2 linked regions of the Oryza sativa Japonica Group genome follow. The protein of the gene in region 2 interacts with the protein of the main gene of each other region in a pairwise test. Links are inferred from orthologs where the notes say so. Each region holds a gene or a part of one and is shown on either strand. Other genes may lie near its edges.

Region 1 (6,748 bases), on a different chromosome or scaffold from region 2:
ATGAGAGCATGTTAAGTTAGGTCTTACCACGAATCCATAAAAAGGTACATGCTAGTTTTCTTGGTTGTTGGGGGTACCTTTGGATGTCAACATCTGTCACGTGGATGAATCCGGCAACATTGCTGCAGAATTGTCAAAGAGGTTTATAGCAAACGTATCTCCAGAATTGTCAAAGAGGTACACTCAGGTTTGTTACAAGAAAAAGGATGCTACAATTTTTGCAGTTTTTGCGTAGTGGTAACGAAAGACTAGAGAAGTTGTAGTTAGTCACGCATGATCGAGCTAATCCAGCAGTACAGATTATAATGACACTGGTAAACTACTGAAAATGATTGCAGGATAACTTGGTGATATCCTGAATTTCAAGTATATAAATCTAATGATCATATGATACAGATCTTAAATAGTTTTGAAAACTGCCACCTAGAGTAAATGGGTTTGTCAGGTTTTTAAGTGGGCAACAGCTGTGACATGCGTACTAGCTAGGGCTAGAACTGTGCACAGACAAGTTATTTAGTGCATACAGATAATAGATTGGTCTGAAGAAAGCAAAATAATATCAAACATGTAAAACATGCAAGAAACCCACCCATCTGAAAGACAATACAAAATTCCATAAACTTTACTATGTATTTTTCTTTCCTATACCTGGGCCCTGATGTACCAATTATATGCATAAATAAGGTATCACCGTATCAAGCTGTATTGACTATGGCTCTAAGCATAAACATTTTAGTAGATGTAAAGCATAAGCACTAATTTGGGCAGTTGGTATCACCTGGAAACTATTTCATCAGGTTCCTTAGCATATGAAACAGCAAGCACGGTGTGGACCATATCTGTGCTGATGTTAACAGCAACAAGTCGAGTAGGGTCTGCCACAGGCTCTGCACCAATCGGTAGTGCAGACTTAGGAGCTTGATGAGTGCCAATCTTGTAAACAGATACATCACTGAAGTTAACAACATTTGAGTGTGGTGCTAGATCATTCGCAATGCCATAAAAGTACTCCTGCAAAGCGAGTGTTACAATTTAGCTTTAGCAAACCAGAGCAGAATAGGATGGCATTAACTGAACAAATGTAACATACGATTGCATGATAACATTAGAAAAATGAAAAAGGAGGTGATATTGTACAGTAATTCATGTGTGTTTAAGCCTCCTTCGATTGTAAGATAACATTAGAAAAATGAACATAAAGGTGAGTCACACTGTACAGTAATGCATGTGTATTTAAGCCTACATCAATTAATTTCTCATATTGCCTACCAAACAATGCCTTGTATTGAAACATTGACTTTTGAAAGTTGAATCTAGGAACTTCCACATTTTATTATCAGAAAAATAATTTACCTTGATACGGAAGCTTCTAGTCTTTTGACGGTACTTTGGATTTCTCGGAACAACACCTTCTGATTTATGAAGTTTTACAACATCAATGTTGGGCTTATTTTTTGCTGCATCTTTTAGCATCTTCCATAGTTTCTCCTGCAGTAGACAAATCAAATGATCCAATCTTCAGGACCATTTCATTTCATGCTTATTCATGATAGCACTTGTCAACATAAACCTAACAGCAATAGTTTCGCTGTCCTTTGTGTGTGTGTGTTGTTGTTAGGGGAGGGGGGGGGGCAGTAACTACCCCTATGACAGTATAACACAAGCTAATAATTGATATCACACAAGCAAATGTCTAGACAATAATACAATACTTCAACAAAATGCTTGGTTGCCCCCCCTAGATTCATACTGAGGTATATAAACAGCAGCCATCATCAACATCAAACTGAACATAGATTCCAGAGTACACTTGGCAGCACATAAGAATCAGGGAATACTAAATGACTAGAGAGCTCTCCACAGCCCTATAATACAAGCATATCCCTCCTGAAATAGCACTATGAAGTACGATAGTGACATCCCATTTGAACAGAGTTCTACAACACTATGAAGAAAACAGAAGCACTTGCCTGTCCCAATACCAATATTACATTAGCCTTGAAAATCTCAATTGAATTGTGAAGTAACTGCACAACACAAATGGTGAATTAACTCATGCTAGAATATAAATATTAGCCATCAACACACATAACCAAAATCTAAGTTGCTCATGAAACAAATAAAATTACCTCTAAACCAAGGTTTTCAACCCACCCCATAGTATTGATAATCATTCCTGCTGCCCTAGATTCAGAATTTCCAGAGAATTGTTTATCCAATGTCTGAGCTAGCTCCTTCATAAGAGCTCTGTAAACATCTGGACTAACACTGTCAGCAACATAAAGAAATAGTTGAGGTGCCAAAAAAGTTGAGTAGAAGAAAAGAAGTCTTTATATAAAATACATGGAAAAAACAGTTAGGCCTTGTTCAGTTGCGCTTGGATTTAATCTGGGCCAGGAATGACAAGTATAGTAAGAGATTTATGATAGATACAATGAGAGACCGGGATTTATTCCAGGCCGGGAATCAATTTACTCATGATAGGGACAATAAGAGGCCGGGATTAGTTCCACACCTCTTGACTAGTGGATTGATTCCAGGTCTCTTATTATCCCTATCATGAGTAAATTGGTTCCCGGCCCGAAATAAATTCCGGTCTCTCATTGTATCTATCATAAATTTCTTACTATACTTGTTATTCCCAGCCCGGATTGAATCCAAGCGTAACCGAACAAGGCCTTAGTGGGAACGACATACCTTGGGCTTGGATGGCCGTAAAAGTATGCAAGCGGCATCTCCAAGGGAATCCCATCAACTATATCTATAGGCTTCTCAATGGGTGTTGCCGAAATACATCCAGGTATGGTTATCGAACCTTGGCCAATATCTAAATCCACATATGTAGGCTTCCAGCCCTGCTTGGCAGCCCAGCTAAGGAGCATTTTGCACAAAGTACTTTTTCCAGAATCACTTGGCCCCACAATGATCACTCTGGGTCCCTAAACCGCGAAGAGAGGCAAAACTAAGCAAGACAGCCCAAAAACCTCGGGATAAATATACCCTTTGTTCGCACAATGTTTCAATGTTTTCAACACCCATATTCAATTTTGGACCGTAGGGTACTCATCAACTTGTAACCTGTTATTGCTCTAACACATTGGTTGTTAAACAGAACTAGTTTTATGTTGGAGTACATAGTACAGGCACACACACTATATTATTTCTAGGAATCTAAAACACCTCATGTGCAACAAACTGTAAAATTAGCATGCTAGCCATCCCATAGTATTATGCAATTATGTAATATACATAACAGAATCAAAAAGTGTGCATCTACTACACAATTTTTGACCAATTAACCGTGCAATAACTTGCATGACGAGATGCCAAACCGAGAGAGACGAGATCACAAACCTGCGAGGACTCCGGCAGGGCACCCTGAGCCGCGGCGGCCCTCGCCCTCGCCCTCCTCGCGTCAAGGATCGCGTGGGTGTTCACATAAACCACCATCGGTGTCTACAGCCATGAGCATGTAATTAGTACTATGTCACAACCACATCGCATTGCATTGGAAGAAGCTCAAAACCCCAAAATTCACAGGGGGATTAGAATATGGAGAAGAAGAAATCACCTCGTCGGACGTGTACTCGCTCTCGCTGACCCCGTCCAGCTCCACCGTCGCGCCGTGCCAGGTGAAAATCTACCCCGAAACATACCAAATGGCAAGAAATCAGTGGTCGCAGCAAAGCTGAGCCGAGGCGAGGCGAATCCCGTGGCGGGTCTCTTCTCCTCCGCGGGAGGTGGGATGTGGGAGGAGGAGGAGGGCGCGCTTACGGCGATCTTGGAGCGGGGCGGGACGGGGACCCAGCCCTCGGGGGGGAGCTCGGTGCCGAAGACCTCCGCCGTGCCGGCGACGAGGCGGACGCGGACGGGCGCGTCGGGGGGCACCTCCACCCGCAGCTCGCTCTGCGGCGCCAGCTTGTACTGCCGCGGCGGCTGCGCGGCCCCGCCCGCGGCGGCCATGCGGGGAGGGGGTGGGTTCTCTACCGGCGGCGGCGGCGGCGGCGCCGGCTAATCGGCGAACGAAGCGACGGCCGCCGTGAGGGGAGAGAGGAAGCCGAAGCGGTTTTGGAGATTTTGCGAGAAAAGGAGAAAAGGATTCGTTTTGTTTCGATGGTTTTGGGCATTTTTGGCCCATGTAGGGATTGCAATTTGGGCTTTGGCCGGAGCCGGGCTTGGATATTGGATTCGGGATCACCTATAAATTTTCTCCTAAAAATTTAACAGATGTATTTAGAATATAATTATAGTGTAATTACACTGTAATTTGTATGTAATTATACGGTAGGTACAATGTAATTTGTATGTAACTTTCATATAGTTTTAAACCGTTAGATCTATTTCAAGTTTTGTGCAGGTTAAGAAGAAAAAAGTCACAGTACGCACATATGAGAGGATTTGATCCCATGATCTCTATTTTACCGAAATAACATGTTATGTGGAGATTTTTGAAAGTTACATACATGTTACATTGTAGTTACAGTGTAATTACATATAAGTTAAGTTACAGTGTGATTACATTATGATTGTAATATAATTATATCTGTCATATTTTTAGGAGAAAATTTGTCGACAAATATATAGGAAATCTATTGAAGTTTAAAAACATTAAATTCAAACTCGATTTATTTATGAGTAATAATAAATTTTATATAACCAAACATTTCATGTTCAAAGGTGCAGAAACCAAACACAATTTTATCTTCATTATATTTTTCAATATATCGTTAGGGACTACTGTATATATATGTCAATGCATCCATTACCATACTCTATGATAACGATGTTCACCAAAAAGATTATAAAAAGTAGTATACACGAACAATTTTTCATGATAAATATTATCCTGTTATTTCACAAATTCAATCTCGATTATTGTCCGTGCGAGTGAGTTTAGATTGCAAACTCTCAGAATGTTAAGATAGAGAGTAAGGGTGTGTTCGGAATCCTCTTACCAACTCACCCTCTCTTTTTCCACGCGCACGCTTTTAAAACTGCTAAACGGTGTGTTTTTTTTAAAAAAGTTTCAATACGAAAGTTGCTTAAAAAAATCATATTTCTAATTTTTTTATCACGTGCTAAAAAAAATACTTCCTCTGTTTCACAATGTAAGTCATTCTAGCATTTTCCACAATTATATTGATGTTAATGAATCTAAATAGATATATATGTTTAGACTCATTAATATCAATATAAATATGAGAAATGCTAGAATGATTTACATTATGAAACGGAGGGAGTAGCTAATACTTAATTATACTTAATTAATTATGTATTCACGTGCTAATGGACCGCTCCGTTTTTTTTCGGACCACTAGGCACAAATTTGAGAGTTTACTTCAACTCACAGAATTCTCAATCTAACTCCAATTTCGTCATCTCAAATTGAAACCACTCAATTTACGTCGAATCTTATTTGAAACTCACCAAATTGCAGGACATTTCATTTTTATTTCATCATCTCGCATCACATTTCAAGTCCACGCGTGACGCGCCTACAATCATTGACAATCGCGAGTCGTCTCGTCGCCTACTCTCCTCGATCTCCGCCATTCTTCCTGCTCGCGAGCTACCTACTCCTCCTCCTCCACCTCGCATTGCATCCTCTCGATCGCGGCGTGCTCCGATCCACCACGATGGCCTCCCGCCAAGCGCCGCCGCAGCCGCCGCCGGAGGAGGAGCCCCCGCTCCCACCGCCGGCGGATCACCATCCCCAAGCCGACGCCGCCGACGGCGGCGGCGGCGACGGTTGGGCCACGTTCGTGGGCTACTCGCTCGCAGCCCTCAACTCCACGCTGGAGATGCGCCGCTTCGAGCGCGGCGCGCCGTTCTCCGCCGCCGTCTTCGCCTACCCGTACCTCCTCCTGCTGCTCTACTTCTACTTCCTCACGCGGTTCCAGGGAGCTCCCCGCGGCTCGCCGGGGATCAGGGACCGGCTCAAGGCCCCGCTGTGGCCGCTCGCGGCGCTCCTCGCCGTCGAGTTCGCCTACCAGCTGACGGGGGCGGCCAGGTTGACGCCGCGCGCCTTGGAGATCGCCGCCGCCGCCGCCGCGATCGGGGCCACCTACGCCTTCCTGCAGCGCAAGGCGTAACTAAGAAACAATTTACTGGAACAACTGTAAGAATTTTTCTGTTTGCTGTGTAGATTACGATTATATCCATGTAAACAGTTCAGTGATTGTGTGACGATGATGTCAATTACTCCCTTCGTTCTATATTATAAATCACTTTGAATTTCTATTAAATCAAATTTGTAAAATAAAAGAGTAAATATCAAAGAACCACATGTACATGTGCTTGTTTTTTTGGAAATCGACGGTAGGAGCTCTGCCGAAATTTAATTAGAAAGAGAAAATATAGTGCTTGCAAGCCAGTTAGAGAAAACAAAGAAGACATCAAGGCGGCCTAAAAGCCGACTTGCGGAGATCAAGCTCCTGCTTTATGACATAGGCCACCTCACGCTCGGTCTTAGCATTATTAGCGAAAATCCTATTATTTCTCTCTAACCAAACATTCCACCATGTTGTTAGGAGTGCTCCTCTAACCGCCAACTTTTGATCCTTTGAGAGAACGCAGTTGATTGCAGCCCACCACACGGAGGTTCCGGCCGTGGGATCAGCAATAACAGGTGGCAAAGCTTGCCAGGAGCGAACAAAGTTCCATACTTCTCTGACGAAGCTGCAAACGCTGAACAAATGATTGGTGTCTTCGAAGGCACATGTGCATAGACGGCAAATCCAATTACACG
Region 2 (6,661 bases):
ATTTTAGATAAACAAAACAACAAAGTAGCAACAGCATATCAAAACTTGAATTGAAATAAAAATTACTGAGCAGGGAAAACTTCATAGGAAAAAATCCCATTTAATAATCTACACTCCTTATAAAAGGGAGTAGACAGGTGGTGGTTCTGCCACCACCCCCAATACAACTCCCAATTTTTTTTACAGAAAAGATGACATGTGGCACTAGAGGGCCCACAAGTCAACTACTCCCACCAACTCTCATATTTTTTGTGGGAAGGAAAACAGATTAATGTGGGACTAAAAAAGGTCTACATGTGATTGAAAATATATATACAAAAATTAAGAGACGTTAATGAAATGTTCATGGTAATTTTCTTTAATTAAAATTCTGTTGCAACGCACAGGCAATATGCTAGTGTCCAGAAATCAACCATAAACTTCATAACTGCACACAATTCAACCCTGAACATTCAAAACCACACATTTTTCATTCTTCGCACAAATTTGAAGTGGTTTTGACAATTTGACTTTTGATAGACATGGAGTAAGATTACATGGCAAAGTGGAAAGGCTGAAAAAAAATCGAATTTCAAAAATTTTAAAATAAAAATCTTAGAAATACTTAAAAATTGCCACTGCTCTATACGGTATTTTGCAACAACAAAAAGTTCATAGGAGTTGAATAAACTATAATCCCCACAGAAAATAGTTTTAAATCTAGATAAAACCATTTTTGTGCATCAAATAAACTTGATTTTGCTATGCTCATAAAGTCATAATTTATTTATGTTTCAATACACCAATATGCAACTGAGAATCTTTACAGATTATTTTTTGTGAAGTGGTTTAAAAATTATAAAAATTCAAATGCAATTTCATCCTTGGGTTACGTATTTGAATTTTACAAAATAGTAATTGAAGTATAAAAACATTTGTACATTAGACCATCTAGAACCTATTTGTTCAGAGTGGAATATAGTTTAATTATCTCCTAAAATATGGTTTTGTTCATATTTAAGCACTATTTTCTGCATGGAAAACTGCAAATTGTACTATATTTTGCTCATATAGAAATATATCTATGTTATAAATACTCCATAGAAGTTATAATTTTGAAGAATTTTGAAGTCATTTACAAATTTTTAAAATTAGAAAATATTTAAAGTCTTATGCCACATCGCCATGTCACCCAAAACTAGGCTAAATTTGGGTAATGTTAAGACTTGAGAAGGGCAGAGTTCTGAAAGTGAAGTTTGGGGTTGTAAAAAGCATTTTCTCTTATTTAATATTGAGATGGATGGATTTTGTTACACCTGGAGACAACGAAGGTGCTTTACATTGTCCCAAACAATGCAAATGTCATCACAAGAGTTATAGGAACTCACTGAAGACTACAAACAGAGCCAGGGTTTACAAATGTGTTAAATCACATGGTTGTTGCTATCTCAAATAACCACTCCCAAAACAGAACAAAAGGGAGGTTCTCCTTTGTCAAGCTACAAAGAGAGCACCTTCAAAGCCCCTATTGATGAGTCAGTAATCAGTACATATATGAGAAAGAAAACAACAGAACTGCTTCTATGTTGTAAAAAAGCACAAATGCATTAAGGATCTGATTTGCAACTAGTAGATACTGTCTTCAGTGTTAGGATTTATGCAGTTTAATTTTCTGGTGATCACAGGAGAACCAGAATGAGTTGCGCAAAAAACAGAACTCATTACTGTGTACTTATAAAAAGATAGGACTCAACAGTAGCATCTATCTGTATAGTATTGGCTTATACTCCCTCCGCCCCAAAAAAAGCTAACTTAGGTGGGGATTTGACACCATCTAGGACAATGAATCTGGACATGAGGAGGTGGTGTCAAATCCCCACCTAGGTTGGTTTTTTCTAGGACGGAGGGAGTAGGTCTCAAACCTGGCTGGTAATTCAGAGTGAAAGAATGACAAGAAGCAAAAAAAAGGAAGATGAAAGACCCAGTACCTGGAGCTTTGAATTAGTTGCAGGCCATCCTCGCGAACTTTTAGATGTTAAACCATTTATTTGATCCTCTTCCACATCATTCATTTGCCGATTTCCACGAGTTATTGGTTGATGCACCTAAAAAATATATGCACAAACTCCAATGTATAAAATTGATCTGAAACAGAAAGGCATCACATATATCTCAAGCTAGGCAATGAAATAAATAGACACCATGCTTAAATCACACAACAAATAGTCAAAACAACTAGCTGTAGCAAATAATCAAGTTGGTATTAACAAGAAGTAAAAAACACATACCGAAGTTGACTGCTTAAATTGTTGTTGTGCTTCTAAATATTTTGGATTTACATGAATGGCATGAGACAGTCTAGGAGATATCGACTCTGACTGTCGGATATCAGTCGCTGTGGCAGAGCGCTTATTCTCTAAGGGGGAAAACTGAAGCTCATCCTCAATTCCGCGTAGCACAGAGGAAGGGAACACTTGTGACCAGGTACCAAAGAGGTGTCGCATTGCAGCATGCTGATTGCGGTGAACTTTCCTATAGGCATCACAAAATACCTTCTGCAACCTAGCGGCAAAATGCCCTACATATTCTCGTCCTATGTTCTTCACAATACTGTCTAGCAGATACAAAGATGGTAATTTCTGGTCGGCAGACACCTGTAACAAAATTGAATAAGAAATCATGTAAAGGAACAGTTCGTTCATAGATAATTAATAGAAAGCATGCATATGATTAAAATTAAATCAAGCAGTCTCTTATGAAATGATGAACAGAATCTGTAAAGAAAGCTACATGGTGTTCTGTTAGTTTAGTTTATTAACTCATTTCTCTTAGGATTGGTTACCATATTGTTGCCATTTAAAATTGCAGTTTTAATGTTCTCTTCAGAAAAGAAATCAAAACTAAATAACTAATAGACTATTAACAGACAATACAAAGCAAAACAATACTGCCCAAGAGTCCAACAATAACTCTAAATCGTTTTACTGATATTCCATTTCAAGCAGCAATTATGTTGTGCCAAAAAAACAGCTAAAAGAAAATTTTAGAAAAATTCCCAGCCATGTAAATTCCGAGCAACCAATCACCATTATTTTCCCTTTTTTTGGTTCAGTTTTAGAGACAAAAAATTTCTTCCAGAACCAAAGATCCTAGCAACTTCATTTGGAACAAGATAGCCTATGCATGGAGGCTGTGAATGCCATTACCACCTATACGCTTGATTATCTGAAACTCAATTCTAGTTATAGATACATCACTTAGATATCACAGACTGGTGCTAGGTGCCAATCGCATACACTCCGTTTCCATCACTTCACTTTAAAACTTGTTGAATCTCACTCTGATTACTGAACCCTAGCAACCAAATTTGCAACAATCGGAGCCACTACAAACAGGGATTGATCCGATTGTTCACTATATGTGCATCAAGTCAACAAAAATCACACATCAAATGCAACGATTACAAAACCCTAGGAACAAAATGTCATCTACAAAGCGCACCAAACCCGAACTTTTACACTGGCTCCAAAATTCAAAAACATGTATATATCTAAAATTTTCAGCAGAAGCACATCACCAAACCCTAGCATTCACAACAATCAGCAAGCAAGCATATCCACTGGACGAGTAGTCTACGCAAGCCCACACATCCCCAAAACCTAGGCTATGTACATACAAGCGAAGAGCCCCCCGGATGAGGGGGGAGAGAGAGAAAACAGCAACCTCCGCGATGCGGGCGCAGATGGCGTCGGCGATCCCCCTCGCGGCGAGGGCCGCGTGCTGCCCGGCGATGATGGTGAGCTCGGTGATGATGGGCTTGCAGTTGAACGTGAGCTCCGAGAGCACCTCCACGTACACCCGCACCACCGCCGCCGCCGCCACCTCCCCGCCTCCCCCCTCCTCCTCCTCCTGCTCCTCCCGCAGCCTCGCCCTGAACCTCTCCACCACGTGCCCCACCCCGCCCGCCCCCGCAACCGCCGCCGCCGCCGCCATGTGGGACGGAGGAGATCCCGCCTTCCCGCCTACTCCCGCCGCTCCCGCCGCCGATGGGGGACTCGCCGCGCCGGGCTAGGGTTTGGGGGCGCCGCGACGAGGCGGAGGCGGAGGCATATGCGTCGCGGAGGCGAAAGGGGGAAGAGAGGTTTCGATTCGGAGTTAGGCGAATTTGGGGGATTTTTCTTCTTTTTTTTTTCTTTTTTGAGGGAGATTTGGGATTCGCTGGGATTTAATTCCGGCGGTGACTGATGGGCTCTCGGCCGTCCGATCCTGATCCGACGTGCCAGATCAAACTGGGGGAATAGAGTGAGACTGCTCTGCTGGACTCATCGGCTTCATGTCTTGTTCGTTTGTTGTCCTCCTCTGAGAGAAAAATGGTAGTGTTCCTCTTGTGTGGATTTATGGCCTTGTGGAGTTGTGGTAGATAAGATGTCAAATGCATGATGGCATTATGTTTTCTGTAGATCTTAGACTTCACGACGAAGTTGCTTGAGATTCTTTTATTTTTGTGATGGTTTGCTTGTTCAGTACACGCATTATACCCATTCATATTATTTGGATGGTAAAGGCCGATATTTGAAAAGATTGTCATTGATGTGTTTGATATGCCTCGTCCTTGTTATCGATGGGATGAGGTTATGGTGAATGTTGATGCATTTTTGTTGAGGTTTTTTTTTTGATGGTTTGCTTGGTTAGTACATGCATTACACCCCCATTCATGTTATATGGATGGTAAAGAATAAGATTTGAAAAGATTGCCGATGATGTGTTTGATATGCCTTGGCCTTGTTCTCAGTGAGATGAGGTTGTGATCAATCTTATTGCTTTATTTCGCGAACCCTGGTCAATCTTGTTGCATTTGATGCATGTTTATGATATGCATTCACATCCACGATTGAGCATGAAGTATGCATTACTTGTCAAAATCTCTTTACTTGTGGATCTTTAAGAAGACATCACCTTTTATTGCTGGAAGATTCAGTCACCTTCAAAAAGATTGAGTTGTAAATGCATTAGATAGGCATACGGCCTTTTTCCCATTGTTTTAAAAAGAACTTTATACTAGGGTTTAATCTATTAGTAGGCACTGATATGACCGGAATTTCAGAAATTACAATAATTTTTGGGCCAAATAATTTAAAATTTAAAACAAAAGTTGGTCAAGTTTGATTTTTTTTTTATAATTCACAAAGAATCAAAAATTTCAAAAAAAAAATCTAGGTGAAATAGTTTGTTTGTTTATGTGTCCAATAGACCCGAAATTTTCAGTTTCAATGCTCTAGTGATTTTGGCAAGTAGGAAGGATACATGAATTTAAGAGAATTTGCACAATATTTTGGCCTTATTATTTTTTCCTTCAATATTACGATATGAGTTTCGGTATGAATTCCTAACATTACAAGATATAAGAACTAATCATGCAGACAACCACAGCCATGTTGGGCTGTCAGCCTGCCAGGCCTAACCTTCAAGCTCATATATAGTTCATAGCTAGCCCAATTACAGTCAATCCTAGAACATGTCTCATTGTGCAAAGATGGACTGCAATGTATATATGTATGTATGGGCCCACTACACAATCCAGTTAGTCAGCTGAAGCCTGAAGAAAAAACAATTTATAAGACACACATGACTGCCCATTTGCATATTCTAAGTAGAAATCACCATCTTTGTTCAGCCCAAAAGATGGTTACAATTATAAAAATAACAAAGTGCTAGCTGGTGTATTATAACCATCTTTCTTGAGATATTCTCTCCACATGATACTTTATGATAGTTTTATTGATGATTAAGACACCAAGGTCAATATCTACGTATATGTTTGGTGGATGCCATGTGAATGTTGTTGTCATAATACCTAGAGAGGTAGGGAATAGAGATAGATGGAGAGAGAGAGAGAGAGAACATAAAGACATCACATTGTCATATATAGTTATTAATTTGGCATTTGTACTTTTTTTAGGTGAACTTCATTAGAGTGCAGACCCACATTGAACACCAAATTCAGCTCACATGAATCTGCATAAAAATTGTTCAATTGGAATTTAATTCCATAAGTCTGGTGGCCATCTTGAATTGAAATTAGTGCTTTCATCACAATTCCAAAGGATCAAATTAGCACAATCCTGTCAAGGTGATGCTCTGTTTTACCCTTATTCTGTTTTAAACCAATGATGCTTGAAGTTTCCCCATGATTAATACTAATATTGGAGAGGAGAACTCCAAAGTTAAAATTAAAAATGTACAGGGACCAGATTTTGAATCTAATTCAATCCAACTGCTCAAATCTGAATATTCCAAGAACAAAAAAGGAACACTAGGCAAGTAAAAAACAAATAGCCCAACTGTTGTCCATGTTCTTCTCAAGGACCTAGGTACGTGTGTGCTTCGGCATCTTCGATGTGCACGATTTTATACTATTATCAGACACATCGAAGAGTTCATCTCGACTCCATCCACAAATACTCCCTACTTTTGATTGACGCTTTAAACAATGACACGCTCTACAATATATATCTTTGACCTTATTTTTCTATTATAACATATACAATAAATAAATACATGTTTACTTTTATAATAGTGTTTTAAAAGACAAATATATATATATATATGTTTTTTTAGTTTTTTTAAACTAAATATTTTAATATTTAAAGTTATTAATGGTTAAAGTTATAAAAGTTTAATC

The links.
Region 1: the proteins of polyadenylation and cleavage factor homolog 4 (region 2) and protein CLP1 homolog interact in a two-hybrid assay, tested with the Arabidopsis thaliana proteins (3 studies listed by BioGRID). The link is inferred for Oryza sativa Japonica Group from reciprocal best matches to the Arabidopsis thaliana genes PCFS4 and CLPS3.

The regions. Positions count from the first base shown.
Region 1 is NC_089036.1:6,588,750-6,595,497, reverse strand, and holds the start of protein CLP1 homolog, read right to left. Parts: upstream 4,080-6,748; 5' UTR 3,964-4,079; coding exon 3,775-3,963; intron 3,641-3,774; coding exon 3,572-3,640; intron 3,457-3,571; coding exon 3,355-3,456; intron 2,940-3,354; coding exon 2,698-2,939; intron 2,269-2,697; coding exon 2,130-2,268; intron 2,028-2,129; coding exon 1,971-2,027; intron 1,489-1,970; coding exon 1,354-1,488; intron 1,012-1,353; coding exon 779-1,011; intron 123-778; coding exon 78-122; intron 1-77. UniProt on the Arabidopsis thaliana protein: Required for endonucleolytic cleavage during polyadenylation-dependent pre-mRNA 3'-end formation. Functions in gametophyte, embryo and postembryotic development.
Region 2 is NC_089042.1:5,174,226-5,180,886, forward strand, and holds the start of polyadenylation and cleavage factor homolog 4, read right to left. Parts: upstream 4,118-6,661; 5' UTR 3,973-4,117; coding exon 3,703-3,972; intron 2,634-3,702; coding exon 2,268-2,633; intron 2,085-2,267; coding exon 1,968-2,084; intron 1-1,967.